Arabidopsis thaliana: one gene and its partners. The protein of the gene in region 2 interacts with the protein of the main gene of each other region in a pairwise test. Each region holds a gene or a part of one and is shown on either strand. Other genes may lie near its edges.

Evidence for each region.
Region 1: the proteins of AT5G54630 (region 2) and AT1G47655 interact in a two-hybrid assay, tested with the Arabidopsis thaliana proteins (one large-scale study listed by BioGRID).
Region 3: the proteins of AT5G54630 (region 2) and AT2G38250 interact in a two-hybrid assay, tested with the Arabidopsis thaliana proteins (one large-scale study listed by BioGRID).
Region 4: the proteins of AT5G54630 (region 2) and AT3G56230 interact in a two-hybrid assay, tested with the Arabidopsis thaliana proteins (one large-scale study listed by BioGRID).

Annotation. Positions count from the first base shown.
Region 1 is NC_003070.9:17,521,300-17,528,244, forward strand, and holds AT1G47655 (Dof-type zinc finger DNA-binding family protein), read left to right. Parts: upstream 1-4,042; 5' UTR 4,043-4,137; coding exon 4,138-4,767; 3' UTR 4,768-5,009; downstream 5,010-6,945. UniProt on the Arabidopsis thaliana protein: Transcription factor that binds specifically to a 5'-AA[AG]G-3' consensus core sequence.
Region 2 is NC_003076.8:22,189,765-22,197,956, reverse strand, and holds AT5G54630 (zinc finger protein-like protein), read left to right. Parts: upstream 1-3,397; 5' UTR 3,398-3,696; coding exon 3,697-4,462; intron 4,463-4,697; coding exon 4,698-5,350; 3' UTR 5,351-5,590; downstream 5,591-8,192. Other genes in the region: Fh5 (formin homology5), read left to right, coding at 1-101; RAT5 (Histone superfamily protein), read right to left, coding at 678-881, 1,229-1,417.
Region 3 is NC_003071.7:16,015,153-16,023,373, forward strand, and holds AT2G38250 (Homeodomain-like superfamily protein), read left to right. Parts: upstream 1-3,057; 5' UTR 3,058-3,231; coding exon 3,232-3,537; intron 3,538-3,784; coding exon 3,785-4,348; 3' UTR 4,349-5,004; downstream 5,005-8,221. Other genes in the region: AT2G38255 (hypothetical protein (DUF239)), read right to left, coding at 7,192-7,374.
Region 4 is NC_003074.8:20,860,220-20,868,026, reverse strand, and holds AT3G56230 (BTB/POZ domain-containing protein), read left to right. Parts: upstream 1-5,631; 5' UTR 5,632-5,891; coding exon 5,892-6,101; intron 6,102-6,233; coding exon 6,234-6,416; intron 6,417-6,672; coding exon 6,673-7,128; 3' UTR 7,129-7,307; downstream 7,308-7,807. Other genes in the region: AT3G56250 (uncharacterized protein), read right to left, coding at 211-330, 746-806, 1,086-1,227, 1,586-1,943; CCH (copper chaperone), read left to right, coding at 3,625-3,633, 4,097-4,172, 4,287-4,567; AT3G56220 (transcription regulator), read right to left, coding at 7,725-7,807. UniProt on the Arabidopsis thaliana protein: May act as a substrate-specific adapter of an E3 ubiquitin-protein ligase complex (CUL3-RBX1-BTB) which mediates the ubiquitination and subsequent proteasomal degradation of target proteins.

The DNA of each region.
Region 1 (6,945 bases), on a different chromosome or scaffold from region 2:
TCTCCGTATGAATGATGCTTCTGATATATGGCGTGATCTTCACAGTCGTTTCAATGTGACTAATCTCCCACGCACATATAATCTTACTCAAGAGATCCAGGATTTTCGCCAAGGTACATTGTCTTTGTCTGAGTACTATACTCGCCTCAAGACATTGTGGGATCAATTAGAAAGTACAGAGGAACTAGATGATCCCTGTATTTGTGGTAAGGCTATGCGTTTGCAACAGAAGGCAGAGCAAGCTAAGATAGTGAAATTGTTAGCTGGTTTGAATGATTCTTATGCTATCATTCGCAGACAGATCATTGCTAAGAAAGCACTCCCAAGTTTAGCAGAGGTGTATCACATTCTGGATCAAGACAACAGTCAACAAGGTTTTTCCAATGTGGTTGCTCCACCGGCTGCTTTTCAGGTCTCTGAGGCAATGATGGCTACTAACAATGATGTGAATATGCTATGTTCAGAGTGGTCCAAACAAGGGCAGACCGATTTGTTCTTTCTGTAATAGGGTTGGACATATTGCAGAAAGATGCTATAAAAAGCATGGATTCCCTCTTGGTTTTACTCCTAAAGGCAAAGGTGGTGACAAGTCTCAGGTGATAGATTCAGGAGCAATACATCATGTATCTCATGATAAGAGTCTTTTCTTGAATTTGGATACTTCTGTTGTGAGTGCAGTGAATTTACCAGCTGGTCCTACTGTAAGAATCAGTGGTGTTGGTACATTGCGACTTAATGATGACATTCTTCTCAAGAATATCTTATTCATTCCTGAGTTTCGCCTGAATCTAATCAGTATAAGTTCTCTGACTGATGACATTGGTTCACGAGTAATATTTGATAAGACTTCTTGTGAAATTCAGGATCCTATCAAGGCTCGGATGCTTGGTCAAGGTAGGAGAATTGCGAATCTATATGTGCTGGATATTGAAGATCCTATTGTCTCAGTGAATGCAGTGGTTGATATCAGTATGTGGCATCGAAGACTTGGTCATGCTTCTCTACAGAGATTGGATGTTATTTCAGACTCTTTGGGGACTACTAAGCCTAAGAATAAAGGCTCAGATTATTGTCATGTTTGTCATTTAGCTAAACAGAGAAAGTTACCCTTCCCTTCTCAGAATAAAGTTTGTAATGAAATCTTTGATTTGTTACACATTGACATTTGGGGTCCTTTTTCAGTTGAGACAGTGGATGGCTATAAATATTTTTTGACAATTGTGGATGATCATTCCAGAGCTACATGGATTTATTTGCTTAGAAACAAGTCAGAAGTTCTTACTGTGTTTCCTGCTTTCATTGAACAAGTTGAGAATCAGTATAAAGTGAGAGTAAAGGCAGTGAGATCAGATAATGCACCAGAATTGAAATTCACAAGTTTATATCAGCAGAAAGGGATTGTTTCGTTTCATTCCTGTCCTGAAACACCGGAGCAGAATTTAGTGGTTGAGCGTAAACATCAACACATACTCAATGTTTCTCGGGCTCTCATGTTCCAATCTCAGGTACCACTCTCTCTTTGGGGTGATTGTGTGTTAACGGCTGTGTTTCTTATCAACAGGACACCTTCCCAGCTCTTATCAAACAAGACTCCATATGAGATTCTCACTGGTACAGTTCCTGTTTATGAGCAGTTTCGAACCTTTGGTTGTTTGTGTTACAGTTCTACTTCGCCAAAAAAAGACATAAGTTTCAGCCGAGATCTAAAGCGTGTGTGTTTTTGGGATATCCTGCTGGTTACAAGGGGTACAAGTTAATGGATTTGGAGAGTCACACTGTGTTTATCTCAAGGAATGTTGTTTTTCATGAGGAGGTATTTCCATTGGCTGTGGATCCAAAGTCAGAGAGTTCTTTGAAGTTGTTTACTCCAATGGTTCCTGTGTCCTCAGGTATTACACAATCTCCTATCTCTTCTCTTCCATCACAAATTTCTGATCTACCACCACAAATTTCTTCACAGAGAGTTAGGAAACCTCCTGCTCATCTGTCAGATTATCATTGCAACATCACGCAATCTAATCACAAATATCCTATTTCCTCTACTATCTCTTACTCTAAAATTTCTCCATCTCACATGTGTTATATCAATAATATCACAAAAATTCCTATTCCCACCACATTTGCTGAGGCACAGGACACCAAAGAATGATGTGAGGCTGTTGATGCAGAGATTGGTGCTATGGAAACTACACACACTTGGGAGATTACTACTTTACCTGCAGGGAAGAAGGCAGTAGGGTGTAAATGGGTATTCAGTTTGAAGTTTTTGGCAGATGGCAGTCTTGAGCGGTATAAGGCTAGATTGGTTGCTAAGGGTTACACTCAGAAAGAAGGTCTAGACTATACAGATACTTTCTCTCCAGTGGCAAAGATGACTACAATCAAGTTGTTATTGAAGATTTCTGCCTCTAAGAAATGGTTCTTAAAACAGCTTGATGTGTCTAATGCTTTCTTGAATGGTGAGTTAGAGGAAGAGATTTACATGAAGTTACCTGAAGGTTATGCGGCAAGGAAAGGTATCACTCTACCTCCTAATTCAGTCTGTCGATTGAAGAGATCCATTTATGGTTTGAAACAGGCCTCTCGTCAGTGGTTTAAGAAGTTTTCTGCTTCATTACTTGATTTGGGTTTTAAGAAGACACATGGTGATCATACTTTGTTTATTAAAGAGTATGATGGAGAATTTGTGATTGTTTTGGTTTATGTTGATGATATTGCTATTGCGAGTACAAGTGAAGGTGCTGCAATACAATTGACTCAGGATTTACAACAGCGATTCAAGTTAAGAGATCTTGGGGATTTGAAATATTTTTTGGGTCTTGAGATTGCTAGAACTGAAGCTGGTATTTCTATCTGCCAGAGAAAGTATGCTCTTGAGTTATTAGCATCTACTGGTATGGTTAACTGTAAACCTGTTTCAGTTCCCATGATCCCGAATGTGAAGATGATGAAGACTGATGGTGATTTGTTGGATGATAGAGAACAATACCGTCGTATTGTAGGAAAGCTGATGTATTTGACAATTACTAGACTTGACATCACCTTTGCAGTTAACAAGTTATGTCAGTTTTCCTCTGCTCCTAGGACGTCTCATCTTCAAGCTGCTTATCGAGTTTTACAATATATCAAAGGCAGTGTTGGCCAAGGTCTGTTCTATTCTGCATCTGCAGATCTTACTCTTAAAGGTTTTGCAGATTCAGATTGGGCTTCCTGTCCAGATAGTAGGAGATCAACAACTGGATTCAGCATGTTTGTGGGTGATTCATTGATATCTTGGCGTTCCAAGAAACAGCATGTGGTTTCCAGATCTTCTGCAGAGGCTGAGTACCGTGCCTTAGCACTGGTTACGTGTGAACTGGTATGGCTTCACACTTTGCTCATGTCTTTAAAAGCTAGCTACTTGGTTCCTGTGTTATATTCTGATAGCACAACTGCTATTTACATCGCCACAAATCCTGTGTTCCATGAAAGAACGAAGCATATAGAGCTAGATTGTCACACGGTTAGGGAGAAACTAGACAATGGCGAGCTGAAGTTGCTTCATGTGCGAACTGAAGACCAAGTAGCGGACATTCTTACTAATCCGTTATTTCCCCATCAATTCGAACACCTTAAATCCAAGATGAGCATTCTTAATATCTTTTCATGCACATCTTGAGGGGGCATATCAGATATGTATATTGGTTTAGTTGGTATTAGTTGGTTTAGTAGAACCATTGTATAGTGTAAAGTATATAAGACATTTGTACAGAATCATTTTACAATTAATGAGAAAAGGCTTCATAATATCTTCAACAAACTTTTCTCTCATCTCTATTCCGCTAATAATTCATTTTAACGAAGTAAATACTATTTTTAAATCCACTCTCATATTTTAACCATTTTTTAGTTAAATTTAATATAGAAGAAATTATTTTTAAAAAAAACTAAATATGAATTAAATTATTTTTAGAAGGGGAAAATAAATTAAATTCATATGTATCAATTAATAAATAAAAGGCAACTGAAAAAAACGTCTAAAAGCCTCTATATAAAAACCACATCACCACTCTCACAACATCCCCTTCTCTTTCGCTTTCTCTCTTCTCTCTTCTCTCCATTAACTTCTCTCTCGTTTTCTCATACTCTCAACTTAATATGCCGTCGGAACCAAACCAAACCCGACCCACCAGAGTTCAGCCCTCAACGGCGGCTTACCCACCGCCAAATCTGGCTGAGCCTCTTCCTTGTCCTCGCTGCAACTCCACCACCACCAAGTTCTGTTACTACAACAACTATAACCTCGCTCAGCCTCGCTACTACTGCAAATCTTGCCGCCGTTACTGGACTCAAGGTGGTACACTCCGTGACGTCCCCGTCGGTGGTGGAACTCGTCGAAGCTCCTCAAAACGTCACCGTTCTTTCTCCACCACTGCCACCTCCTCTTCCTCCTCTTCTTCCGTCATCACCACCACGACACAAGAACCAGCCACGACTGAAGCGAGTCAAACTAAGGTTACTAATTTAATTTCAGGTCATGGAAGCTTTGCTTCTCTGTTAGGTTTAGGAAGTGGAAATGGTGGGTTGGATTACGGGTTTGGGTACGGGTACGGGCTTGAGGAGATGAGTATTGGGTATCTTGGAGATTCTTCCGTAGGAGAGATTCCGGTGGTTGATGGTTGTGGTGGTGACACGTGGCAGATTGGGGAGATTGAAGGTAAAAGTGGAGGAGACAGTTTGATATGGCCTGGTCTTGAGATCTCAATGCAAACCAACGATGTTAAGTGAAAATGAAACCGTTTCTGATTTCTTGCCTTTGTCTTCTTTTGTTGGTGTCTTTTTGGAAATTTCTGTTTGTTTTCTTTTTTTTCCTAGAAAGAAGAGCAAAAGAAACCAAATTGAAGCAAAAATGTTTTTATTTATTTTAGTTTTTGAGGTCCAACAATTCTGGTGTATAAATCCTCTGTTTATGTGACGAACATATTGGAATGGATTTACAAGTAAAAAGTAAAAACGTTTCTTTCTTTTTATTTTGGTTGGTTAATATTTTGAAAGGAATAGTCAAATGTAGAAAGATGAATTGAGCATAAAAGTCCAAAAAGGGAAAAAGTACATAAGTACTGTTGCAGAAGTGAGTAAGAGATGCTCTGTTGCTACATCTTTGAAATGAGGAAATTGCGTTGAACTTAATTTTGTTTGTATTATAGATAAACATCAACAACAACATTGTTCATTTGCAGTGTAGAAGATTTTGTATATCAAAGTCATGTGAGTCTAGTGTTTAGCATATGAGACAATTCATATGAATGCTAAGAACTAAAACCTTTCATTCGATCAATGGATTAGAAATTCTTAGGGTTAATGTAGATTATGGTGTACTTATCAGCTAGTGTTATTTTTTTGTAAAAATCTTTAGGTTTAATCCTTGTGTCAAACATCTCAGCTAGAGTGTACTTGGTTAAACGTTCAAATAAAATTTGAATGTAGGGAATATAGCTAATAGATATTGTTGTGTAGTCTCCTATTGTGGTCAAAGCAAGAAAAACGAATTGTGTTGAATATAATTAACGGTAACTACATCATGACTATATTGAGAATGATGCTCAAGTTTATTACCAACTAATAAAACTTTTGCCCACCTAAATCAATCAACAATGTTCAGTCAAAGCGTAATCAGCTCCACTTAATTGTATGTCAAATTTATTCTTTAGTAACTTAGTTTGAGTCATGTTCATCCTTAATCCACAAACACAAGGTGTGTTTACAGCTCCGGCCCAACATATATTTGAGCCTTAGGGGCAAAAACATTTTTTGAACCTTTTGTTAAATGAAAAAAAACGTCGGGACATTTTTTGGAGTTTTTTTACGAGTAACTTTTGAGCACTTTGAACATTTTTAAAAATATGTATTAGAGAGAACACTAACATAACATGGTGGCTCAAGATGGTTTTGATTGTTTGTTGATTTGCACAGATTCGTTTGCTCCTAATACTCGAATCATTACGAATTCAACTAACAACAATATTATAGAACAACAATTACGTATTATGCTCTAAGTTATCATATTACCTATTTTTTATTCACATTAACAAATTTTGCATTCTTCTCAATCATAATAATTAAGGGACTCCTTCTTCATCCCTAAACTCTTTTCATTTTTAATTTCATTGATATCTATCCCACTAATCAAATTTTTTTTCTTTTTTTTTGCCACTCACTTCTTATTCCTATAAACGTCTATAATCGAAACTTATTTCAAATAAGTTATTTGCATCTACTGTATTCGAAAACATAGATTAAGCATTTTGGTGGCATGCCATCATAAGATCATTACAAAAACTAAAGTGTTAACTATTAAGTATTCTTTACTTTCCCATAAAAATTTGTCATCTTTAATATATTATTCAACAGTGGAAGTGGGTGTCATTGACCTTCAATTGTCAAATTAAATCAGAGTCATCATGAGATTTGAATCATTTGCTGAGAAAAAACACGAAAATTGAATCCTCGAAAGAATGTTTATTTTGAGCCAAAGGTTGTCTATAGTTATTAATGACCAACCACCCAACATTTGTTTATCTATCTCCATAATTATACAACTATGATGCCGTTTCCCAGTTTGTGGCTTCTTACATCATTATCTCTCAGCATGTGTGTTGTGACTTCTCTTGGCTTATCCCTACATCAATTATTATTATGCTCCTCAGTTTTTTTCCAAACTAAAAGCATAATATTAGACCAATATTTTCACATATTTTTTACGAGATCAATATAGAATTTCTAACTATGATTACTGATTACCAAATGAATAAAAGGAACAGCAAAAATTATTATAACTAATAGTTTAAATAACCGAAAGATAGAATAGAGGCTACTATATATATGATAAGCTTCAATGTTGACATTTTATATCAATTCTTTGTTTTATTGACTTTTAGTTTTAGTTAAACTTGGTTGTTGCAAAAG
Region 2 (8,192 bases):
CTGAAACTCCAAGACAAACGCCTTCATTAGATCCTAGGCAGAAGCTGTTTCCAGCTATTACAGAGAGACGCGTGGATCAGTCTAGTTCAGATTCAGACTAAAAAGTACAAATCTTTGGTTTCGTTACCTGTTAGGACATAATTCATCTGCTGTTTTGCTGAGAGCTTATCTTTTCCTGCTGTGAGTGTAATGGCATTAACCCTCAAGACATGTCAGGTTTTAGTCACTGATTATGAGTTTTTCAGATGTAATTTAAAGAGGCATAGACACTGTCACTCACTTGTACCAATTTTTTTCACATTTAGTCTTAGAAATACTTTCTTTTCATATTTTTTCAATCTTGTTGGCCATAGAATAATAATCCTTTGTGTTTTTTTCTTTCTTGTACTATTACTATCAACAACAAAGAAAATCTTTATACTTCTACAAAGTGCAGTGTTTGCTTGTTGAATAAGGCATCAGCATTTTTGAAAGACATTATCATTCATATTTCGCAAAATACTTTCATATATTCACAAAAACAGAAACAACATGTCGAAACAGAAACGGAAAGAAACAAATCCCTAAAGGAATTAAAAAAAGCAAAGATACAAAAAGTGAAAACATCTAGCTAGTTATTAGGTTATTAGATCTAAAGCCAAAAGAGAGACGTGTTCTATATCATTGTGTTAAAAGACCTAATCTTCCTGAGGCTTTGAAGCACCAGCCTTCTTAGGGAGAAGGAGATTGTGGATGTTAGGCATCACTCCTCCATTAGCAATCGTCACATCTCCAAGAAGCTTGCTTAGCTCCTCATCGTTTCTGACCGCAAGCTGAATGTGACGAGGAACAATACGTGTCTTCTTGTTGTCTCTTGCTGCGTTTCCAGCTAATTCAAGAACCTGAACAAATTCAAAACACACAATTCATGATCAAACTTTCCAAATTTGAGAACTTTAACAACTCAAATCAAATTGGTTACCATAATTGAAAAAAATTTAGAATCTTGCGAGAAAACTACAACGATTCATATGATCTCGATTACCATCAACCAATCAGAACAAACCCAAAATTAGGTCAATTACAGAACTACAACAATTCAATTCAAACACGAATCTAATTCAATTTTTGCATGTCAAATTCGGAAAATGTAAGAACCCTAGATTCGTAATCGATCACGCAAAAACAGAGTCAGACGAATAAGATCGGAAACGGAATGGGAAAGAGAGAAAAGACGATGTAATTTTACCTCGGCGGCCAAATATTCGAGAACGGCGGCGAGATAAACCGGAGCACCGGCACCAACACGTTCGGCGTATTTACCGGCTTTTAAGAAACGAGCGATACGACCCACCGGGAATTGAAGACCGGCTTTGCTACTCCGAGATGTAGCTTTCTTCGCCCCACCGGATCCAAGAGTTTTTCCACGACCAGCCATTTTCAACAACAACAACCCACAAAGAGCGCAAAAAAATCGAATTTTTTTCTTGACGAAATTAACAGAGAGAAATCTGATTGTTGTTTATATATGTTGGAGGATTAAGTTATTTGACCAATAAGAATAGAGTACGCGGATCGAAGAGGTTTAAACCGTTGATTATAATTTAATGAATGGCTACGATCTGAAGTTTTTTCTCCCACCGCTTGAACTTTTGCAGTTTTTGTTGGTTTCTTCTGGACGAGGGAATTTCCAAATTTTCCATATAAACCTCAATTTATTTTATGCCCTTGAAAATAATATTATGGGCTTGGAACGCTGAACAAATCGAATTGAGTTTACGAAGTAAATGGGCCGCTTATGGGTTTAGAACTCGCCCACCAAACCCCAGCGAAGAAAATGATTTAACATAGTCACTTTTACTAATTCTATTGTGTTGTTCATATTTTTATTGAACAACCATTGTGGAATTTTATCACTATATAAATTTGATGAATTACTAATCATATAAATAACGTTGGATTACTAAAAATGTCACTATATAAAAATGTTAAAGTGAGAAAAAGAACATGCATGAAAGAGAAGAAGTTTTAAGAGTAAATTGTGTTCACCAAATCTATTTCAATATTTATGGATCCAAGTCATACGGAAATTAAGATATATCATAGCTAGATTGGGGCAGACCAGTCAATGTGGTGTGGTCGAAATGATGGTCCTGTTGGTTTTAGGTTTTAGGGCAAAACTGGGTAACCCAGAAGAAGGACATGATCTATCAACATGTTTCAAAATTCAATTTCTAATTTAATGTCTTTCCTTTTGAATTCAATATGGCTATAACGACACCCACACCTACTTCCATTATCTACCCTTTGCGATATCTACAATTCGTAATAAATGCACTTTCAAAGTTTGACAAACTCACAATTCAGATTAGAGTTATTGTGTTTTGATCATTAACGAACTGTTATTGTCATCCATTCCTTCATGTTTTGAAGTCGATATGATGTAAATACTACAGTGTTACTTTATTAGGAACAGAGATAATGCAAAAATATTGATGTACTATCGTTGCGGTTTTACTTTCGTTTATACAAATAAATCTTATATTTCACCGTCCGCTCGTATAAACATATTATGTCAACTATTGTTATTTATCAAACTAGAGTGATAAAGTTACATGCATGGTGTAATAATAAGAAGTTTAGTATAAATTTTAATGGCTTGTTAAAATGTATATTGATTACTGTCTTTCCAAGAAATGTCAGAATGTTTCATATGCTCTTATGGGGCATTTAAGAGTGAATTGACAGATGCAAGCAGAAAGAAATGAAATCAATGTTCTTTTATTCAATTTTATTTCCTATAGCCATGCTATTAATTCATTAGTAATTCTCATTTAGTTGTCACTGACCAACAATTTGTCATCATTATTGCTTGGATTAACGTATTTATGAATAGTGAGTGAATACATATGTAGTTTTAGCCTGACTAGGTTTCAGACATCATAGAAGAATAATCAACTCTTTCACCATATAATCTCAAAGGTAAATTTAGAAATAAAATATTTGTTTCTTCTTGCGAGTAAAAGTACTTATTAGACCGGTGAACCTGCTCACGCACAGTCTCATTGATTTATGATCGTATTAACTGTAATTAAATTCTGTAAGAGAAAGTTAAAGGAAATTCCAAAAGTTTAGAAGTATGACATGAATTCAAGATTCTCTACACGGTAACTATAGGAAAAAAAGATCTTTTAAAAACCAAAATCATTGAATTAATCACGATTTATGGCTAATGTTAATTTTGTTAATGAATGCAAGTTCATGAAATTTAGCTTGTTTTTTCTTTTCTTATTACCGTGCATTAAATCAAGTTTACCACTAAAAAGATTCCAATATTCAGTTAATGTGATAATTCGTAAATATGGACTAGTCTATAAATTACTATTTCATGATTTATGAACATGTTGTGAAGTCTTTTCAGTTTTTACACTTTTAAGAATGGCAAAACAGTAAGTGAAAGAAACATTCTCTCGTGTTATTACTTATTACATCGGTGAGTTGAGACATCGTAGACCTCCTTCAGATTCATTTGCTCGTACATGCCTTCTAGAAAGAAAAGAAACTTGGTTTTTTAATATATCTCATAAGACAAAATCCACTTATTATTACCTATCATCCGGCGACAATATTTAATTTATATTTATTATAGCATCACTTCCAAAAATATTCAGAAGAAGAAGATAGAGAGAAAGAAAGAGAGAGATATCGACAACAACAATGGAAGATTCAAGCAAAAAAAGCCAAAAGAAGAAGAAGAACAAAAGCAAGAACAACATCCCAACTGTTTGGTTCTCACTCAAGAAATCCCTCCACTGTAAATCCGAACCATCTGATGTCCACGACCCAATATCCACCACTAAACAGCAACAACACCTCTCCACAATCTCCACCAAGAAAATCTCCGGCATATCATCCGGCGGAGCCGCCGTATGCGGTGGTGGTTTATCAGGATGTTCAAGATCAATAGCAAATCTCAAAGACGTAATCCATGGAAGCAAAAGACATTTCGAGAAACCACCAATAAGTAGTCCTCGTTCTATTGGAAGCAATGAGTTTCTAAATCCTATAACTCATGAAGTTATTCTTAGTAACTCAACTTGTGAGCTTAAGATCACTGGTGTCGGAGACATGGCTTCACCTGTCGGAGCAGCGGATTCCGGCGGAGGTGGCGGTGGAGGAAATGGTCGGTCTACGACTTATGTAGGGATGCTTAGACCAGGAACACCGATGCATTATCTTAACCATTCAGCTTCTTACAGGAGCCAAACAAGAAAGGGTTCGTTTGCTTTGTCGGAGAGAGATCGAGGAGGAGGAGGAGGAGGAGAAGGGTTAGGGTTTCATACAAACAGAAGGGTTTCATTGGAGATGAACAGAGAATCCACCATTAATGGAGGCAACAATTCCTCTGTTTCTTGTCATAAATGTGGTGAACAGTTCAATAAGCTTGAAGCTGCTGAAGCTCATCATCTCTCTAAACATGCCGGTAAGTAAATTTAACAAATTATGCAATTTAGGCTTCATAGTAACAAAAGTTAGGTTATAAAAATCGCAACTTTTATAAAGAAAAAAACAGAGTCTTGAAAAAAACAGAGTTTTGCAATTAACAATTCAAAGCTAAAATGTTAAACTTTAACAACATTTACTCTAAATTTCCGATTTTGATTATGCAGTTTGATTCAAAGTTTCTCAAATTTATATAACTTTCATCTAAATTGCAGTAACGGAGCTTGTAGAAGGAGATTCATCAAGAAAAATAGTGGAGATAATCTGCAGAACAAGCTGGTTAAAGTCAGAGAACCAATGTGGAAGAATCGATAGAGTTTTAAAAGTACACAACATGCAGAAGACATTAGCTAGATTCGAGGAATACAGAGAAACAGTTAAAATCAGAGCAAGCAAACTTCAGAAGAAGCATCCAAGATGTCTCGCAGACGGTAACGAGCTACTTAGGTTCCACGGAACCACCGTGGCTTGTGGTTTAGGTATAAACGGGTCAACAAGTGTTTGCACGGCGGAGAAATGTTGTGTCTGTCGGATTATACGAAACGGGTTCTCGTCGAAACGGGAGAAGAATAATGGGGTTGGTGTTTTCACGGCGTCTACTAGTGGAAGAGCGTTCGAGTCGATTTTGGTTAACGGTGGAGATGAGAGTGGAGATGTTGATCGGACGGTGAGGAAAGTGTTGATTGTGTGTAGGGTTATCGCCGGAAGAGTTCATCGGCCGGTGGAGAATGTGGAGGAGATGAATGGGTTGATGAGTGGGTTTGATTCTTTGGCTGGCAAAGTTGGTTTGTATACAAATGTGGAGGAGCTTTATTTGCTTAATCCTAAAGCTTTGCTTCCTTGCTTTGTGGTCATTTGCAAGCCCTAAAACATTTAGCATGTTGGGGAAAAAGATTGAATTTTCTTTTGTTGATAAATTTATGTATCGTATAATGAGAATTGAAATCAATAGATAATTGATATCTAGATTTTACTTATTTCAATTTTTTTTGCCATTTTTTTTTGAAATGGTAATGGTGGAATGAATCGATTTATTTGTAGAGTTGTCATTTTGTTTAAGCCATTCCACAATATCGATGATAAAAAAAGGAACAAAAATGTAAATAAAATTTCTTCCACATTTTCATGATCAACTTAAATTTTCTTCACTAAAAAGTGTGTCTTTTAGCTTATTTTTTACAAGTCTACGGTTTGATAAGGTTTACCAATTCTTTTTTGTCAAGTTTAGTTCTGATTAACCATTATACTTAGAATTTTAACAGCAAGAAAACTCTCTTACGTAGAGAGACAAACAAAAAAATAAAAATTGTTCATATTATGTTGTAGATTAAATTTGTATGTTAGTGTATTAAATTGATGTGAAATCAATGGTTAAAGATAGATGTCGAAGTTTCTCAGAGTGAGAATTTAGTTTCACGGGTGGCCCTGTTGGTAAAAGTGCTACTAAATGCCAAATTTCATCCAGTAATAAAACGTTATTGAGAAAGAAAGGGAACAAGAAATTCTTTTCTCCTTCATTTTTTTTTTTCAACGACGAAACATCAAAGAAGTACAATGATACGATTACAAATTCGGATATAGAACAATACAAATGAATGACTAATGAATGCCTCGTTGGGGACTTGTTATATTTTATACTACAGTTTGCATTTTTTTTCTTCATTTTATAGAATACTAATGAAACTAAACATTTTTAAAAAAATCAGCTATGACATGAAAAATTTATGGAATGTTGTTTCAAAAAATTTAATAATTAATTGTGATTTGTGAACAATGTTTTTACGAAGTAACGTAAACAATGTTCATATAAACAATAGAAGGCACTGTTTAGAATATACATATTTACTATCAGTTTCAAAATAGTACATTGTTAATAATAAAGATTATTAAAAATACTACTATACGTAAATAGTGATGTTTCATTGTTTCATGTACTATTTTTTTTTCAAATACTGTTCTGTAAGAAAATATTCGTTTTTATTTTCCTTCAAATATTTTGGAACTATCCCCTTTTAGTCCTGGATTATGTACAAGATAGTTTTATATAAAAGGCATGGCACATAAGAACAAAAAATAACATTGATGATAATTAGGCATTTTGTTAAAACGAATAAAGTAAAATGGTCCATTGGATTCATAATGGTAGCGAGACAAAGCTTACGTCAAAGGTGACGACAAAATTCTATCCCATGCAAATATTTATTTGGAGCTTTAAATATTTCTATCTGCAAAAGCCACCCACTCATAATTATCCTCTGAGAAAATGAGAAAAATCTGAATCTGTGAGCCCAATTATAAGCCGAAGTTTCAAATCTTGAAATTTTGAACTCTGAAAATAAATATATAGTGGATAATTATATACTTATATGTAATTATATATAGTTTTCTATATAGATATGTGCAGGGCAAAATAATATGATATTCATTTTGATTCATTAACAGTTAACTAACAACTAGTATGTTTTTTTTTGCTGACAATAATAAATACAACTAATATGTGTGACATACATTTTGATTCATCGCGGATAGTATATGGGAATGAAATTTGCAAATTGGTAGTGCACAATGTAAATAAATATGTCAAAATTTAGGGGAAATACATGAATAGCGTATATTCCTATTAACTTTGGATTGAAGATGAATTGTAAATGTGTTAATTGAGGCAGAACAAATTAAAATCATGGATAAAACAATAAAATTTGGATATCCATTTTCTCTAGTTTTAATATTATAAAAGGGGTATGAATATATTGTAAATATTGGAATGAATGACAACGAGGCCTGATATGGACAGTGTATCTGCTTCAACCTAAGTAACGTTGGGATCATACCACATGACATCTCAAAGAGAATTAATTTTGATTTTGATTTTTCAGTCGACAACAATATTTTTTTCTTTTGGTCAGAAACACTCGACAAAAATCTATGTCGTCATATTCGGATCCTTTTATATAATGACGGAAACGTAATCCACTTCTAACAAGTTTATATACTACGCTCAAAGTATGTGAAATATACGATGGTAAAATATTTGAAATGATGATTAAATATGTGACGTTAATTATGTGATCTACAACTAATATCCAAGTGTTCCTAATCAGTTTTTTTTTTTTTTATGAAGAAATACCGATAATTGATCACTGATATACAGATATTTGTTTTCAATAACTAATTTATAGAAAATTTAAAATATTATTAAGGATTCAGAGCAATATGACACAAGCTCAAAAATAATTTTATTACTGTAAAAGATGATGTGTGATGTAATGTTTTAGTTACTCTTTCAGATATATTTTCTTCGTAACTGGGAGCGAAGACATCTTTTTACACACGCATATAGATGCAAACTAAAGCTAATTACATTTTTTTTTGGTTTAAAAGCTAATTGCAACTAAATCTAATTGCAGTTTTAATTTTGAAACATTGATCATTAAGCAATAAGCACTATCTCCTATAAAACATAAACTATTTTGATTAGATAAAATCTAAGTCAACTGTTTGTATAATAAAGTACACTTATTCTTCCATTACTAAAAGTTGTCCTCGTCGTTTTGCCTAGCAACATTCTGACTAACCAATTGTATTGATTGATTAAGTCAATACTCGGTAAAACTAGTAGTATATAATTTTCTTAATATTCTCCTTTAATTTATATACCGACGACAATATTTCAATTTGTTCATTGTTGAAACTGTTCTTTGGAATCAGTT
Region 3 (8,221 bases), on a different chromosome or scaffold from region 2:
GACTTAAAAATACCTAATCAACAACAGATTATCGGTGGAGGTCATGCCAACATTTGGAACGAAAACAGCCAAACCCATAGTGTATTTTTTTCATGGTCATTGTATTTATATAGACTAAAGTAGAGATCATCATAATTTAAATTATTGTTTTGGTTTGTAATCCACAAAAGCCAAAAAATAAACAAAAAAAACGAAATCATTTGAAAAATGGTTTGATTATAGTGGTTGAACCATCTTCTGTTTGGCGCAACATTGTTGAATGATTTTGGATGACTGAAATTCCCAAAAGAATAATTATAAAATACTCAAAAACTAATTTAAATGATTTTTTTTCAGTTATATCTCTAACATGTCTATGATATATAACAAAACGTTTAAGACAAATGTTTAAACATGAGAATAGAATCACGCTTTCAAAACGTGACAACTAAAGAAATACCATTTATCAATCTAACTCTGTTAAATTCGATTATCTATTGTTTTTCTTTGTACAAATGGTATTTTGATGCTATACATTAGCATATATAATAGGAACGTTCTTTTAGATGGTATTAAATTCATTTCATCCTATATATCTATTTCTTTCATCTTCTAGATCGAGATATGTCAAAAGGAAATACTAGATCCGTGATGTTGACAAAAGAAATTGTCCGCCTAATATGTTGAATATTGTGAACGTAAATGATGTGATATAGTGTGATAAATAAATAAATAAATGAATCAATTACCAGATAAGGATTTTTAGTGGCATTCATAGATTTGCCGAAAAAATTATATCTAAAGTTACAATTTACACATTTAGGTTTACTTGGTTCTATTTTTTTAGGGTATAATATTTGTTATTATGTATTTTATAAAAAAAAAATGGAAACATAATGAAACAAAATTCTCAAATACATATTTTTATTTAAAAAGTTTCTCAAAATTTTAGCTTTTAAGTGGCAGAAAATAGTTTTTTTTTTTTTTATAGATAAAGTGAAAAATCTAAAATGGCAAAATCAACAATAATCCAAAACAACAAAATCAACAAATCTAAAAAACTCGTTGATTGTTTTGAAGACAACAGCTATGTGGTGAAGAAAAAATGAAGAAAAACCAAAATCGACATGTGGGCTACTGTGTAAGATGCATTCATTTACAGCTACCAAACGCACACGTGACAATTTTTTTTTTTTTTTTTTTTTTGTTTGTATATATTATATAAATTTAAATACAATCGAAAACAAAAATTCTTCGTTAAACTCTTTTCAATGCTGTATTTGAAGCTTCCTATTTTTATTATTAAAAATATGTTGTTTCTAAAAAATATATATATATATATATATAAAAATTCTTTTCTTGACTCTACAAAATTTTTGTTTGCTAACAATTTTACCTTCACTGTTTACTATACAAAAAATCTCTGTTTTAGTGAATAATATATGCAACTAAGTTTTTCGCAATAAAAATACAATAAAAAAATTGTAGCTAGCTATAGTCTGGTCACAAACCATAGGAAATGTAGCCTCTAAAAATAAAATCAATAACAAATTTGTACTGATCTTTTTATATCGACATAAATTTGGTGAAAGTCCAAATAACATGTTTTTCGTACCATAATCAACCAAGTGGTGTTCCTTCAACAGATACATAAAACGAGGCAAAATAAAAGTGAACGAGGCAGACAAAGAATTTTCCAAACCTCATTTAAGGGACTAGGTTGACTTTAGTCCTTTACTTTAGAAGAGAGTTGCAGTTTTCATCTATTGTAGGGGTTACACAAAATTTGTTCTTATGTGAGTCCAATTGCCAAATTGTACATCACTCGAAGACAAATTGGGCCCAAACTGTGTAGAATGGGTTTGGGCTGCCAACCCATAATAAACCTTAAGTTGAAAATGAATTAGTTTGGCACATGCTTTTTTTTGTCATGTTCATGCTTTTAAAAAAATTCAAAATTGGCCTAACAAGTTTCACATCTCTAGAATGTTGTTCCTAGCTGGCTAGTTCCACGCACGTGTCACACTATAATTTGTCATTTCGTGAATGAAGAAATCATTCCAACACTTTTGTTATTTTGATAACCATACAAGGAATAACACGTGAAGGAATTTAGGAAACGAGAGATTCTAGAGAAGTCACCTAGTTTTGTATTTAAAAAAGGTGCTCAAAATTAGAAAAATATCGAATTTTGTTGAAAAAGGGAAAAATAAACAAAGACAAAGTAGTAAATAGAAACTTGGGCATGAAGCTAAGGATATGACTGGTCGCCGAGAATTAATAACCACACAGTATTATTACAAAAAGTATACAAACCGAAACTTCTCGCGGTGATGATGAAACCTCAACGCAATGTTATCGTCACATCAATTTGATTCCTCATTATAGTATGAATGAAAAAGCAGATTAAACAGAAAATACATAAAGAGCTCTATAACTCAATAGGAAATATTTACCACTCACCTATGTTTTTCTTACACTTTCACTCTAATTTATTTTGACAAAAGAAAAATTGTATTATATTATTTAAAGACTTGACTTTCTCTTTAATATTTTACTGTTTTTTATATTTAAAGCAATATAAAAAATTATCATCATTTTAATTAAATTTATTATCCCTACCATTTTACCAAACCAACTCAGTAATAAACTCATTTCATACACATATTTGACAAATATGTCGACTGTCAGAATCTAGAATACTATTTGTCAAATGAAAGTGATTACATTATGAGATAACGATAGAAATATCCACATCTCTCCTGATCACCAGTCAACATATCTTTTATTAACGAATTGACTGGTAGTTTAAGACGCTAATTATCCTTTGCTCTATAATACCATTTCAATCGATATTTTAACTAATTATATACTATTAGAAATGAAATGACAAATCTGCCGAAAGCTTTTTTCTTTTTAATATTTTGTCAAAAGAAGACACACAAAAAAAAAGTAAATTGTATTAGAAAAAATCCAAGACAGAGAAAAAAGTAAACGCGTAGACAGATGGCGACAGGAGAAAGAGAGAGTGGAGAAGAAGAAAAGAATTGCGATCAAAGAAAATTAGACTTCTTTCTTCCAACGTTTTCACATTACAAATACACAAAAACCAAAAGATAAAGAAAAACAAGAAATATTTTGTTTTTCGATCTGAAAAAGTGAAAGCTTCTTCAAAATCTTTGCTTTAGAGATCGTTTGGTGATTTTTTTTCTTTATTTTTTTTTTATAGTTTCTTCTTCTTGATTCTTTCATATGGATGGACATCAGCATCATCACCTTCACCAGCTTCAATATCTCAACAAGCATCATCTTCATACTCAATCGCAAACGCCGGAAATAGCCTCTCCGGTAGCTGTTGGGGATAGGTTTCCACAGTGGAGCGTCGAAGAGACAAAAGAGTTGATAGGGATAAGAGGAGAGCTAGATCAAACTTTCATGGAGACAAAACGGAACAAGCTTCTTTGGGAAGTTATCTCTAACAAGATGAGAGACAAAAGCTTTCCTCGTAGCCCTGAACAGTGCAAGTGCAAGTGGAAGAACCTCGTCACTCGTTTTAAGGTCTATTCTCTCTCTCCCTCTTCTTTCATTTTGTGGATGTTTTATAATCTTGGAGGTCTTGCATGGAACAAATAAATAAATAAAAATTTGTAACCAAGAAATATTGAATCTTATAGTCCATAATCTTTCCGGGACATATAGACAAACACCATTGTAAATATTTCTGAATCTTGTTGTCCATAATCTGCTAAGTAGTTTAATTATATGTATACAATCTCATTGGTGATGTATTGCTTGATGTTTCTAGGGATGTGAGACAATGGAGGCAGAGACAGCGAGACAACAGTTCCCTTTTTATGATGATATGCAAAATATATTTACCACTAGAATGCAGAGAATGCTATGGGCTGAATCCGAGGGAGGAGGAGGGGGAACAAGCGGGGCAGCGAGAAAGAGAGAGTATTCTTCAGATGAGGAAGAAGAGAATGTGAATGAAGAGCTAGTAGATGTCAGCAACGACCCAAAAATTCTAAATCCGAAAAAGAACATTGCAAAGAAGCGAAAAGGCGGTAGTAATAGTAGTAATAGCAATAATGGTGTAAGAGAAGTGTTGGAAGAGTTTATGAGACATCAAGTGAGAATGGAGAGCGAGTGGAGAGAAGGATGGGAGGCTAGGGAGAAGGAAAGAGCAGAGAAAGAAGAAGAATGGAGAAGGAAGATGGAGGAGCTTGAGAAGGAGAGGTTGGCAATGGAGCGGATGTGGCGGGATAGAGAGGAGCAACGGCGGTCGAGGGAGGAGATGAGAGCAGAGAAGAGGGATTCACTTATCAATGCATTGCTTGCTAAGCTTACTAGAGATGGTTCCCTCTAATCTTTTGTCAGCTTTGCTTAACCTAAATTAACTTGTTCTTATATGCTTGTTTGGGGTGTAGTGTAGGTACAATTATTTGGTGGGGGAAGATAATATCTACGGCAAATCTCAACACTCATATATTGATTGATATGATGACATATTTGAGTTTTAGTGAGGCTTTAGTAATTTATCATCCCCACATTATTTCTTCCTAGTTTATATTTTGGCGAGCCAAATTCTTATAGCATATCATTTAATCTTAGTAGTATACTGGTTTTAATTAGTAATTTGTAGGACCGTATGTGTAGTATTTTAGAGTAATTTGGATTTTGTTAGAGTTAACCTACAAATCCATATATAGTGCAGCGAATGTAATATCGGTTTCAAATATTATCTTCATGCAGAAGAGAACGAGGATACTAATAGTTTATGGTATTATGAACTAATTAACTTTGATGAGAATGTAGAGATCAAGAGGGCAAAACAGTTAGTGGAAATATTAAACATGCTCGAAACAAGAATGAAAACTTATCCTATGAATTATGGGATCATTTAGGTCCATTGTCTGCGATCTAAACTTTTATTATTTTACCATAAATGTTTTCTTGTAACATTGAGAATCATATCTAACATGGCAAGATAATACGTGAATGCGTATGGCGTTTCTTATCCACATAAATTTGTTTTACTTATGTTTTTTTTTTGTTTTCCACATAAAGATTAGTAAAGATCTTGTATTATTTTATTTGTAAATTTATATTTATATAATTATATACTAAGGAGATGCTTAATGAATAAAATACACATCACATGTTAATTCTAGAAAATACGTTAACCAGTTTTTTTTTGGTAACATTGTTGTTTCTTTATTTATTTACTAGCTATGAACTCATGCGTGGATTTATTTGTAAAAAATTTAACAGTTTTTTGTGTGACTAAAATATTTTATTGAAAATTTTGAAAATATGATTTTATATATCTATTTGTTGTTAATATTATAAACTCTTTGAATTTTAAAATTATCATGACAAATAGTAACAATTTAAATACATAACTAGAAATAACCTTTATACAACTCTTAGATTTTACAACATTTAGCAAAAGAACATTTTTTTGGTTAATGACTCTCTCTTTAGCTTTAGATATTTAGGATAACGACGTCTTTTTTTACGTATTAAATAAATTGTTGTATAGGAAATAGATTCGACGATTCTCATTTTGGTACCCGCAAATTTACTATTGTTTTTCGTTTATCTTCGCTGCATTAGTTAGTATAGCTCTTCTAAAAATAAGATATTTTGTAGAAATATATTCGTAAGTTTATCTACACTTTCTTTTAACAACTCATATTTTTCTCACATTCTTTTCAATATGTATATGAATTTCTTTCACAATTTTTTTTACAGAGAGCTATGACTCTCCCTATCTTTTTGCAAAAACTCGTTTTATTTGTTTCATTTTTTCTTACAGTGTCTCTTTCATCCTCTTATGATTTTGTCTAAGCAATATGTGCCATACCTTCTTAAATTTTCACATGCTCCATATTTCTTCTTCGAAAATCTCTTCCTTTTCTTGTTAGTATAAGCATTTTTCAATCTCGTCAAGATGTACTCTGTTTTGTTTTCTGTTATTCTAAGAAAACGTTTTAGCTTCTAAATTGATACTTAACTCTATCACTTCTCCTTTTTGATGCAGTTTAGATCCTCTTCACCTTCACGCTTCCCAGACTGAAAGACCTTAGTTTATATCTTCGAGAACTTGATTCAAATTGATACGATTAAAAACACCACCATCAAACCACGTCCTTGTTACGTTTCTTTAAATTATATTAAAATGTTGGATTACTTGTATAAGATCTTATAAGGTTTGGGTTTAATATTACATAATTATAATTCTATAGCTTCTTTTTTTTTATAAGTTTAAATTTAATATTTGTTATTTTCCTTTTCTATTTTAAATTTTAAAATAGAAAGTAATTACTATTTTCAAAATTGTTAACTAATTAGATACTAAATATGTTAATTAATGACATGTTTAACGCGGATTGGTCGTTCTAAATCCTATGTAGACGCCTTTAGAAGCAAATAGTTTCAACATTTATATAGTATAGATTTATTTGACATTACTTTCTCATTCCCACATCTTTAAGCGTTTTTTTTAAGATCTTATAATACTTTTTGTTCACAAGATGAAAATAGTTTAGTTAAATTTTATTTATCTTTTAAATTTTAATATAGTTTCGGCCGATACATATAATTCATTTGTCATCAAATACCACATTTTCCACCTGGTCCCCCAAAAGAGAAACTTACTCCAGTTGACTTGAAATAACCCCAGTATGATAGTCTATAACATTGGTAAGAATCTGCATATATCCTTGCTTTCCTGCTTTCAATATCAACTAGTTGATAATTTGAATTCTTAACTTTAACATGAACATAATGTGAACTTTTAAAATAGCTAATAACCGGAAAATGTCCATTTCCCATTGGAGGACTAATTCCATCCGGAGATGTAAAAGTATTTCCTCCAAATCGCACCAAAGAAGCTCCTTTGTTTAAGTGTGTAAATAGTTTTTTGGGCCAATAACCAACTATTTCGTTCATGACAGTGTCTTTTAGTACCCAGTTTCCACTGAAACCATCCTAACAAAACATAAAACACTAGAAAATGACTGCAAAAATATTTAAATTTTATACGCATATATGTTATTTTAAAAAGAAATTTTGATGCACTATATTGCAAAATGGAAAATTATAATGCGGATGAATGTGATTATTTCAAAAGCCTAACAAAGAATTTGGATTTGTGGCATGTTATTAAAATAATTAATAACTAAAATTCTTATCATTGTTGTCGAATTATTTGTCGTATAAAATGTGAAGAAGATTTACCTGGAAAACTTGTGGTCTGATAACAACTGATCCTTTACCACCATAAATAGAGGATTCATTAAAAGCGATTCCAATTTGCGGAACTCGACTTATAATAACAAAGCCAGGACAATTTGTATTATAACACCCAGTTTTCTTATACCCATCTGCCTAAAAATTCAAAAGAGGCAAAATATTTTGAGATACGAGATACAAAGAGACAAAATGGTATCAAATGTTTTTTTTTTATAAACATATAAAGATATGATTTATTTTAGAGAAATTGGTAAAAATGCCCTTTCAAGACTATCCCTTTTTAACTATGCTATTTCATGTTGGTCATTTTTATTTATACTCTCTTTTAATTTTTAGTGACCATTTTACCCCTATTTTGAAAATGTTTTAGGTTAACAAAATAAAATATTAATTTTTCTGCCTAAAATATTCAGAAGATAGATTTTCCGATAATTATTTTTTTCGAAAATATTTTTCCCGCAAAAAAAGAAATGGCGGGAAATAGATTTACAAGGGTTTTTACAAGATTTTTAAAGGGTTTAGAAGGATTTTAAGGATTTACAAGGGTTTTTCAAAAAAATTTAAAACATGTACAAGAGTTTTAAAACCTTATAAAAACTTAAAACTCATGTAAATCTTTTTAAAATATTTTGTAAAGGTTCACAAGAGTTTTAAAATGGTTCAAAGATTATTAAAGAGTTTACAAAGATTTTTAAAGGGTTTACAAGAGTTTTCAAGGATTTACAAGAGTTTTTAAAACATTTACAAGGGTTTTAAAACCCTTTAAAAACTATTGTAAATCATTTTAAAACCTTTTATAATGGTTTCAAAATAATAAAAAATGATTTTAAAGTATTTACATATGTATTTAAAGACTTTATAAGAGGTTTTAAAATGATTTACAAGATTCTTAACAACTTTACAAAAAAAAAATTAAGAGTTTCTGAAAGATTTACAAGGGTTTTTAAAATATTCTTGAAAATTTTACAAGAATTTTCAAATG
Region 4 (7,807 bases), on a different chromosome or scaffold from region 2:
GTTCTCCCACTGAAACGATGTTAAATATTATAAACCGATAGATATTTTGTATACACAGATTTGACGTGTCATGTGTACTAAGTGACCAGTGAAACATTTCCTGTGAGAATACTCCTTAGCTATACAGTGATTACGAACGGGTTATGGTGTCTCTATGATATCCTTAAGATTGTTATCTCTTCTTACTTAGTCTGAGTCGCTATTAGATACCTCTTCTACTGGCAGCTCAAATGCATCAATCTCTGCAAAGTAAGCTTTCTGCTTCTCGATATAATCCTGACAAGCTGCACTAACCGGATCCTCTTTCTCTTGCTTTACCGTCCGCTGTCTCTGTAATGTAACCACAAATGCAGAATTAGATTTGGAGCAAACTTATATGTTACCAATAGTCATAAGGCTCTATAACTGAACAATGGGAGTTCCAAATTGCATATCTCATTAAACAGTAATCCCACTGTATCTCGTGACAATATTCTAAATCCAACTTTTGAAAAAAAGAAGAATATACATGAAACTGAAGGACTAGGCAATTCACTTCAAACTATGTGTAGCACTGGTTTCAGACATGTGGCAGAAGAACGTTGTGAACAATCAATGTTGAAACATACAATGCACTGATATACACTTTGCTAGAGCCATAAAACCAATAGATCAAAGTATTGACTACTTTTTCGCAGAAAGATGATAACAACATAGAATTATTACAGTTCTGATAAGTAAACAGCCAGAGCTTTCCTGAATTCACCTTTTTTGGAGCCACTTTCAAGGTCTTCTTTTTGTTTTCACTAGCTTGACGTGTTTTCTTCCTGTGATACAAATTTCAAAGAAAATTAACTAACAACAACATGGTTGATTATAAACAGCCCACAAAATGCTAAACAAATTTGATGAAAGTTAACTGTAACACTAACAAAAGTTATCTCATCTACTATTTCTTACTGACAAGATTCTTTCAAAAGAACAGGCATCAATAAATTAGTCAGCATGAACTACATTCTATCCTGATTCCATATGTACATTAGCTACTATTAGCCATGCCAAATCAATTTTCCCATAGCAAATATATGATCGAATGGGTTTCATACCCAGAGCTTGATGACAAGTCGAGACGAATGCGAGCTGCTGCACTAGTAGAGGAAGATGCGTCTTTACTTCTTTTTTGTCCAGAGGCCTTCCTTCTTACCGTGTAAACAGACCAAGGCTCAGTAAAATCCTTGTCACTAACACCTAAGCATAAGACAATTATTTAACATCAGTATAAGATAGACACAGAAACCAATTTTGCAAAAATACCAATTGAAAATCAACAGAGACTGAGAACTAGCTTGATAGCAATTTTCAATCCACTCAATATTGGTGCCGTTTTGGAAATTTGAAGTGACCCAATTAGTGCTCTTCCACTATAACAGAAAACATGATAAATTCAAGCATCAATCTAAACCTTCTTCCAATAATTCCTAAAAATACCCAAAACCCGAAAACTAAAACCCTAGAGTTGCGAACAATTTCAATTCAGATGAAATTCCTTAAAATTTGATACAGTATAACAAAACTGGAACAAAATCATCGCAGCTAAATCAATTACCCATATCAGATCGCGATGTTTGGGGACGAGAAGGAGCTGAGGCCGGAGAAGCCAGATCAGCAGACATACGGCGAGTTACGGGTCTAACGTCCGTGGTAATAGGCCGAGAAGCGATTTCGGGAGCAGTCGCCGAAGTATTAACATCTTTGGGTTTCTCCTTGAGCGTAGTTTGTTCTACTAATCTCTTTAGTGAAGAAGTGAGACTCGGATTCGCGAATTTTACAGAAGAAGATGACTGTTGAGAAGATCTGGAGACGGTGTTAGTACAATCCGCGAGCGGTTTCCTCTGTATTCTTCCTCCGACGGAGCGAGGAGCTTCCATTTGTTTACCCGGCGTCGGAATCTTGGGATGATTCATCTGAGGTTTTGTGGGAGAAGATTTCTACTCTCTGTTGGCGGGAATGTGAAAAGCACGAAAAGAAGAAGAGTTCTGAAGAAGGCTCGAGAGAGCTTGAGACGATAATAATTGAGGATTTAAGAGAAGCCCAAATTGGGAAAGTATCGTTGGGCCCATATTTTTTATTTTATCAACTGGGCCCATGATTTTGTTTTGACAGCACTGGGCCCATATCATAATCTATTCTACTACCTTTTTAGAACTTGATGAGGTGTAGGGGATCAACAAAATTATTGCTTTTCTTTTTGTAAGGATAATATTAAATATATTGTATAGAGGGGAACTGTTTTTTAGAAGTGGGAGCAAAGTATTAGAGCATTATGTATCAAAGACTTGCGAGTTGTTGACCAATTAATAAAGGAATTGCAACTTTAGGTGATTGTGATGTGAGGCTGAAATCTTTGTAACCACCAAGTAGACAAAGTATGATTCAGCATTGTATGATATATACGTAATTTCAATAACGATTGGAATATAAAGATTCTTGCATTTCGAGTTATGTGATGAGATCTTTAGAGTTGTGTTGAAACACGTAAATTGCGATCGTCATTACACGAGTTCCTCGAATAGGTTCGGTGAGAGGGACAGAGAATGAGTGCCATATTTCAAAACTACACGCATTATTGATAGATATATGCTGATGTGTTTCTTTGATGGACGTCGCATAGGAAAGCCACAATGGAAATATTGATAATGTTAACTACAAAAAAAAGTTTGGGAATCCATATAAGAAACCATATTATACTTGAGTCTCTCATTCCTATGCTCACTCGAGTAGGATTCCAAAAAACGGTACACATCGATTTTTAGCCACTTTTTAAACAACAAAATATCAAAGAATATATTGGTCTCATGACCGATTCTGAAAATTCAGCTACTTACTGTTTAGAATTATAAAATTCAATATGAATAGTGATAGATAAGATATTCGCAATTTTGAATGATAACAATGTAAAACCGCAAATTGTGAAACTTTTGTCCATCATTCAAAAAATTTAGTTTTTGGCAAAACAATCCGTGAAAAGGACAACATTATTTATGTATCAATACACCCCACTACCTAGTCACCTAAAGATAAAATGAGTTAGTTCGGCTTACCATTCAAACTCCACATGTATAATATGATATTTTTATAGATTGACATATAATATTTGTGTTTTATTGTTCATGATATTCTTTAGAAAGCTTGAAAATAAAATATTAGGATAAAAATAGTTTTCTCTAAGTTCATAGTCAAATACTACTATCTAATAAAAGTAAACTTTGATTGACCCCATATATATAAAAATTAGGTAATTGGTACTGCAACAAAACATGTGTAGTACAAGGAGACCTCATAGAATTCTTTGTACTTGTACTTTCTGTTAGTGGATTTTAAAGTTGGTAAGCTTTTTTCCACATCAGGTATAACTAACCTTCCTAAACCTTTATACTTTATTATTGGAAATATGGTAAATGCACTAATTCATAATGTTCTCGTTTCCTTTACGCTAACTTCTCCGAATCTTTGCTTTTGCGTTACTATAAATATTCAGAAGACACCATTTCTTCTCATTCAACAAACAAGCATCTCATTCTCTGATTCGGTCCATCGATCTCAAAGGCTCAAAGCTTAATCGTTTCCTTTCTTCTTATTCTAGCCATGGCTCAGGTAATTTTGTGACTTTGATATTCTTCTTCTTTTTTTCTCCATTTCTTGGCCATGAAACGATGGAATAATGTTTTTGAGAGACATTGATCTGGAAGCAGGAATGTCTTTTTGTGTCCATCTCCAAAAAAGATGCTAGCAATTGTCTATATATATCGGTTATGAGAGTCCGATTAATCAGTTTTTATGATAATAAATATTTTGGAATGAATTAATATCAAATTTCAAGAGGGAAGAAAAGAGATTGATTGGTCTAGGTCTAGGTTCTATCTGTAAGTACTATAATGTCCGATTAGCACCACTTTGAAATATTCATCAAAAAAGGTAAATATTATTAAGCTAGAGCACAAAAGATAACAGTTAATAATTGTGATAAAATTAGCTGTTGATATATTTGGACCGAATTGGTCCTATGTATATGGATATGGTTCTTACATTTTCGGATTAAATTGTCTAATTAATGCAGACCGTTGTCCTCAAAGTTGGTATGTCATGCCAAGGCTGCGTTGGTGCCGTCAATAGAGTTTTAGGCAAAATGGAAGGTATTTCTCTCTAATCTTTTTTTCATGTCTTTCAAATACTTTCTACTAATCATTGTTTCCCTTTATTTTAAGCCTTATAATTTATTGACTCTATAATTTATTATATAATCTCAGGGGTTGAGTCATTTGACATTGATATCAAGGAGCAAAAGGTGACAGTGAAAGGTAATGTTGAGCCTGAAGCAGTTTTCCAAACAGTTTCAAAGACCGGAAAGAAGACTTCTTACTGGCCAGTGGAGGCTGAAGCTGAGCCAAAAGCCGAGGCTGATCCTAAGGTCGAAACCGTGACTGAGACTAAAACCGAGGCTGAGACTAAGACTGAGGCTAAGGTTGATGCAAAAGCTGATGTTGAACCAAAAGCCGCAGAAGCCGAGACTAAGCCATCACAAGTTTAAGTATACTAACGATGAAAAGGAAGGCTAATCTACCTTTACAATGCTTCTTTATCTTTTGCTTTTGTGTGTTGTTGTAAGAAATGCTTCCTCTAAATACCTAATATCTTTATGTATGTATACCTTTTTCAACTATTGATAACAAGATGTTGGACCCATGTTGGTCCGACTTTCTTTTATAAGAAGTTTTAAGTGTTTTACTAGTTAATTAAATACTGCGAGAGTCTTAACTTTGACTTATTATAAAACTCAATCCATTCAGACATCTGTCTGAAAATAGGCAAAAACAGAATGAACCATTTTCAAGAGAAAATTGTAAGATGAGCCGGCCTGAAGAACTTGGAAGCCCCAAGCAAAAGTTTTTCTGGTCTATTTACATATTTTTGTAAGAAGTTGGACATTAGGATGGGATTTGAAGTTTGAACTCCCCTTGGTATTTATATAAGCCCAAAACCAAATAGACTAATAACTTATTTTGTTATATATGTGGCCCTAATAGTACATAATATTCATGTGGATTCAAATTTGAGTTATCATCTTACCTGAATTACTATATGGGTGTGATTAGTATACACTAATCTAGCTAATCCATTCAGAAAACAATTCGTGCTAAGATTTGGATTGCACATTCTTACAAAATTAATGAGTTATTAATTAATATTTTTCCCAAAAATTAAGTCAATTAATGTTGAAGCTATAGGAGCGACGTGCTTACACTACACATATTTGCTGTTGAAAGGTTGGAAAGTCCTTTTCTTCTTTACCAACTTTTTACGTCTTTTAGCTTTTGAAGCTATCTATCGTATCTCAAATCTCTGTATTCTTATCTACTCTCTAAATCATTCTTCATGAGTTAACTTTACTAAATTATGTACGGTTAGCATCGATCATATACATGCGAAGCATATACATATATCCAGTCAAGCATATAATAAACAAATTAATAAATATATTGGATTTGTTTCATTAAATTAATTAAGTATATAACATCCCATGAAGGTTCCAAGTTCCAACTATACAACTGCCCCTAAAAGATTCCTTCATGTCTTAATCATTTCATCTACGTTGTTTTATTTGTTAAATTATGCTCAACAACTCTTTACGGAAACAATCATGTACCGAGTTGATTATTAACGAAAAATATATTTAAAAATGTTTCAAGAACGTAGCCATCTCTAACCAATTCTTGAACCATACTTTACCAACTTGCGTTCGAAGCAAGAAACTGCTCCTCCATCATCTTCCTCTATTGATCTTCTTCATATTCTCAAGTTTACTCCAAAAATTGCGAGGTAGAGAAGAGGAAACTACAAACCAAGAACATTAAATGGATTGCTCAATCTGCACCACAATGCCATCTATATTAAGACCACCAAGAAACACAATATGTGGATCATGCTACGAAGGGGCTAGAACAACAATTGCGCTGCTCAAGAAACTTGAGGGCTCGAAAGAAGATCGTCATGACAAATCGAACCATAATTCCACCATCAATAATGGCTCCTCTATTTCTTCGTCTCCTTTGTTTTCTTGTGAGGTAAGCTTCTTATGTGTATTTGCACTAAGTAGTCTTTAATTTATAAAACATTTCAATTATTTTTTAGAAATCAAAACACATTAATTTATTGGCTTAATGATTTTTAACTATATATTTGTGCGAGAATTTCAGCCGCAACCATTAGAGAAGGTGATCAAATGGATGAAAAACATGAAAGAAACCGAAGAAGAACAGAAGAAAAGAATAGTCTTCTTAAGCAGCTTTGTGTCGGGTTTCAAAGAACAGCTTCATGCTGATATTCTTCTAAAACCGGGCGATGATGGCCCTCCAATTCCTGCACATAGAGCTTTGCTGGTAATTCAATGATCGCTAGCTACTCTCTTTTAAAATTTAATTTTATGGCATGGTTAGTTTTATAATAGGATGTTGACATTTTAAAAATACAATAATTTATAGGGTTTAAATAAAAATTCAATGGCGTTTGATGTTTATGTAAACAATTTCAAAAGTACAAATTAAATAGAAAAAAAAATAAAGTAAAATATTTTAACATGACGCAACCATTAAATTTTGTTTTCTAAAAACGAGTTGGGTGCTTATATATATGTAGGCTTCAAAATCTGAGATCTTTAAGAACATTCTAGACTCAGATGGATGCAAAACCGCTCCAGAATACGCCATAACGCTCCAAGAACTAAATTCCGAGCAACTTCAAGCTCTCTTGGAGTTTCTATACACCGGTACATTGGCTTCAGATAAGTTGGAGAAAAATGTCTACGCGTTGTTTATTGCAGCAGATAAGTACATGATTCATTACTTGCAAGAGTTGTGCGAGCAATATATGTTAAGTTCCTTGGACATCTCTAGTGTTCTTAACGTTCTTGATGTCTCGGATCTTGGTTCGAGCAAGACGCTGAAGGAGGCTTGTGTAGGGTTCGTGGTGCGGAACATGGACGACGTCGTTTTCTCGGATAAGTACGAACCTTTCTCTCAGAAAAACCAACATCTATGTGTGGAGATCACAAGGGCGTTCTTGATGGAAACGAGAAGCAAGAGACGTGACTAATTAAATTAGTGAGATTATCAATGAATGTTTCTTCTATAGCTGTTACTTGATTGATCTTTAATCTTCCAAGCTAGACCTTTTCTTTGTTTGATAAAAGGAAAATATGTTTTACGCATGGCCCATATTCCGGCCCACTAACAGTAACATATATAAAGCCCATCAAACCAACGATTGGGACATATTAAGTATTAACCGTTCATAACCTAGCGAAGGGTTTAAGTGGCAAAAGATTATCGTTCCCTTGGGCGGTTTTAAAATCGAATCGACAGAAAAGGGAACAGAGTTGAAGAAGCGAAATGGATAGAGAGGATCTTCTTTGCTTTTGAGCTGGTCAAATTCACTAGAGAATAGGAATAGTGTCCTTTTGAATCTCCAATATGATCAAGCTATACACGTTTTCGCATATTAGTGATGAATTAACTAACTTGCTGCTAAAGAAATTAATTGACAGATTTGATAATCAGAGAGACATACAATTGATTTATTTTCCTTGATCATATGTCTATCTAAAGATCTCTTTTTAGGTAAAACAAATGTAAATTATATATATAGAAAATCTAATGAATACTTGATCATATATGTCTAGCCTTTTTGAATCATGCATGGCTATCACTCCAGGTCCTTATTGCTTCTGCCACTGCCTGTTTCACTGCTTCAGCATCTATGCAGTCTCCATCAT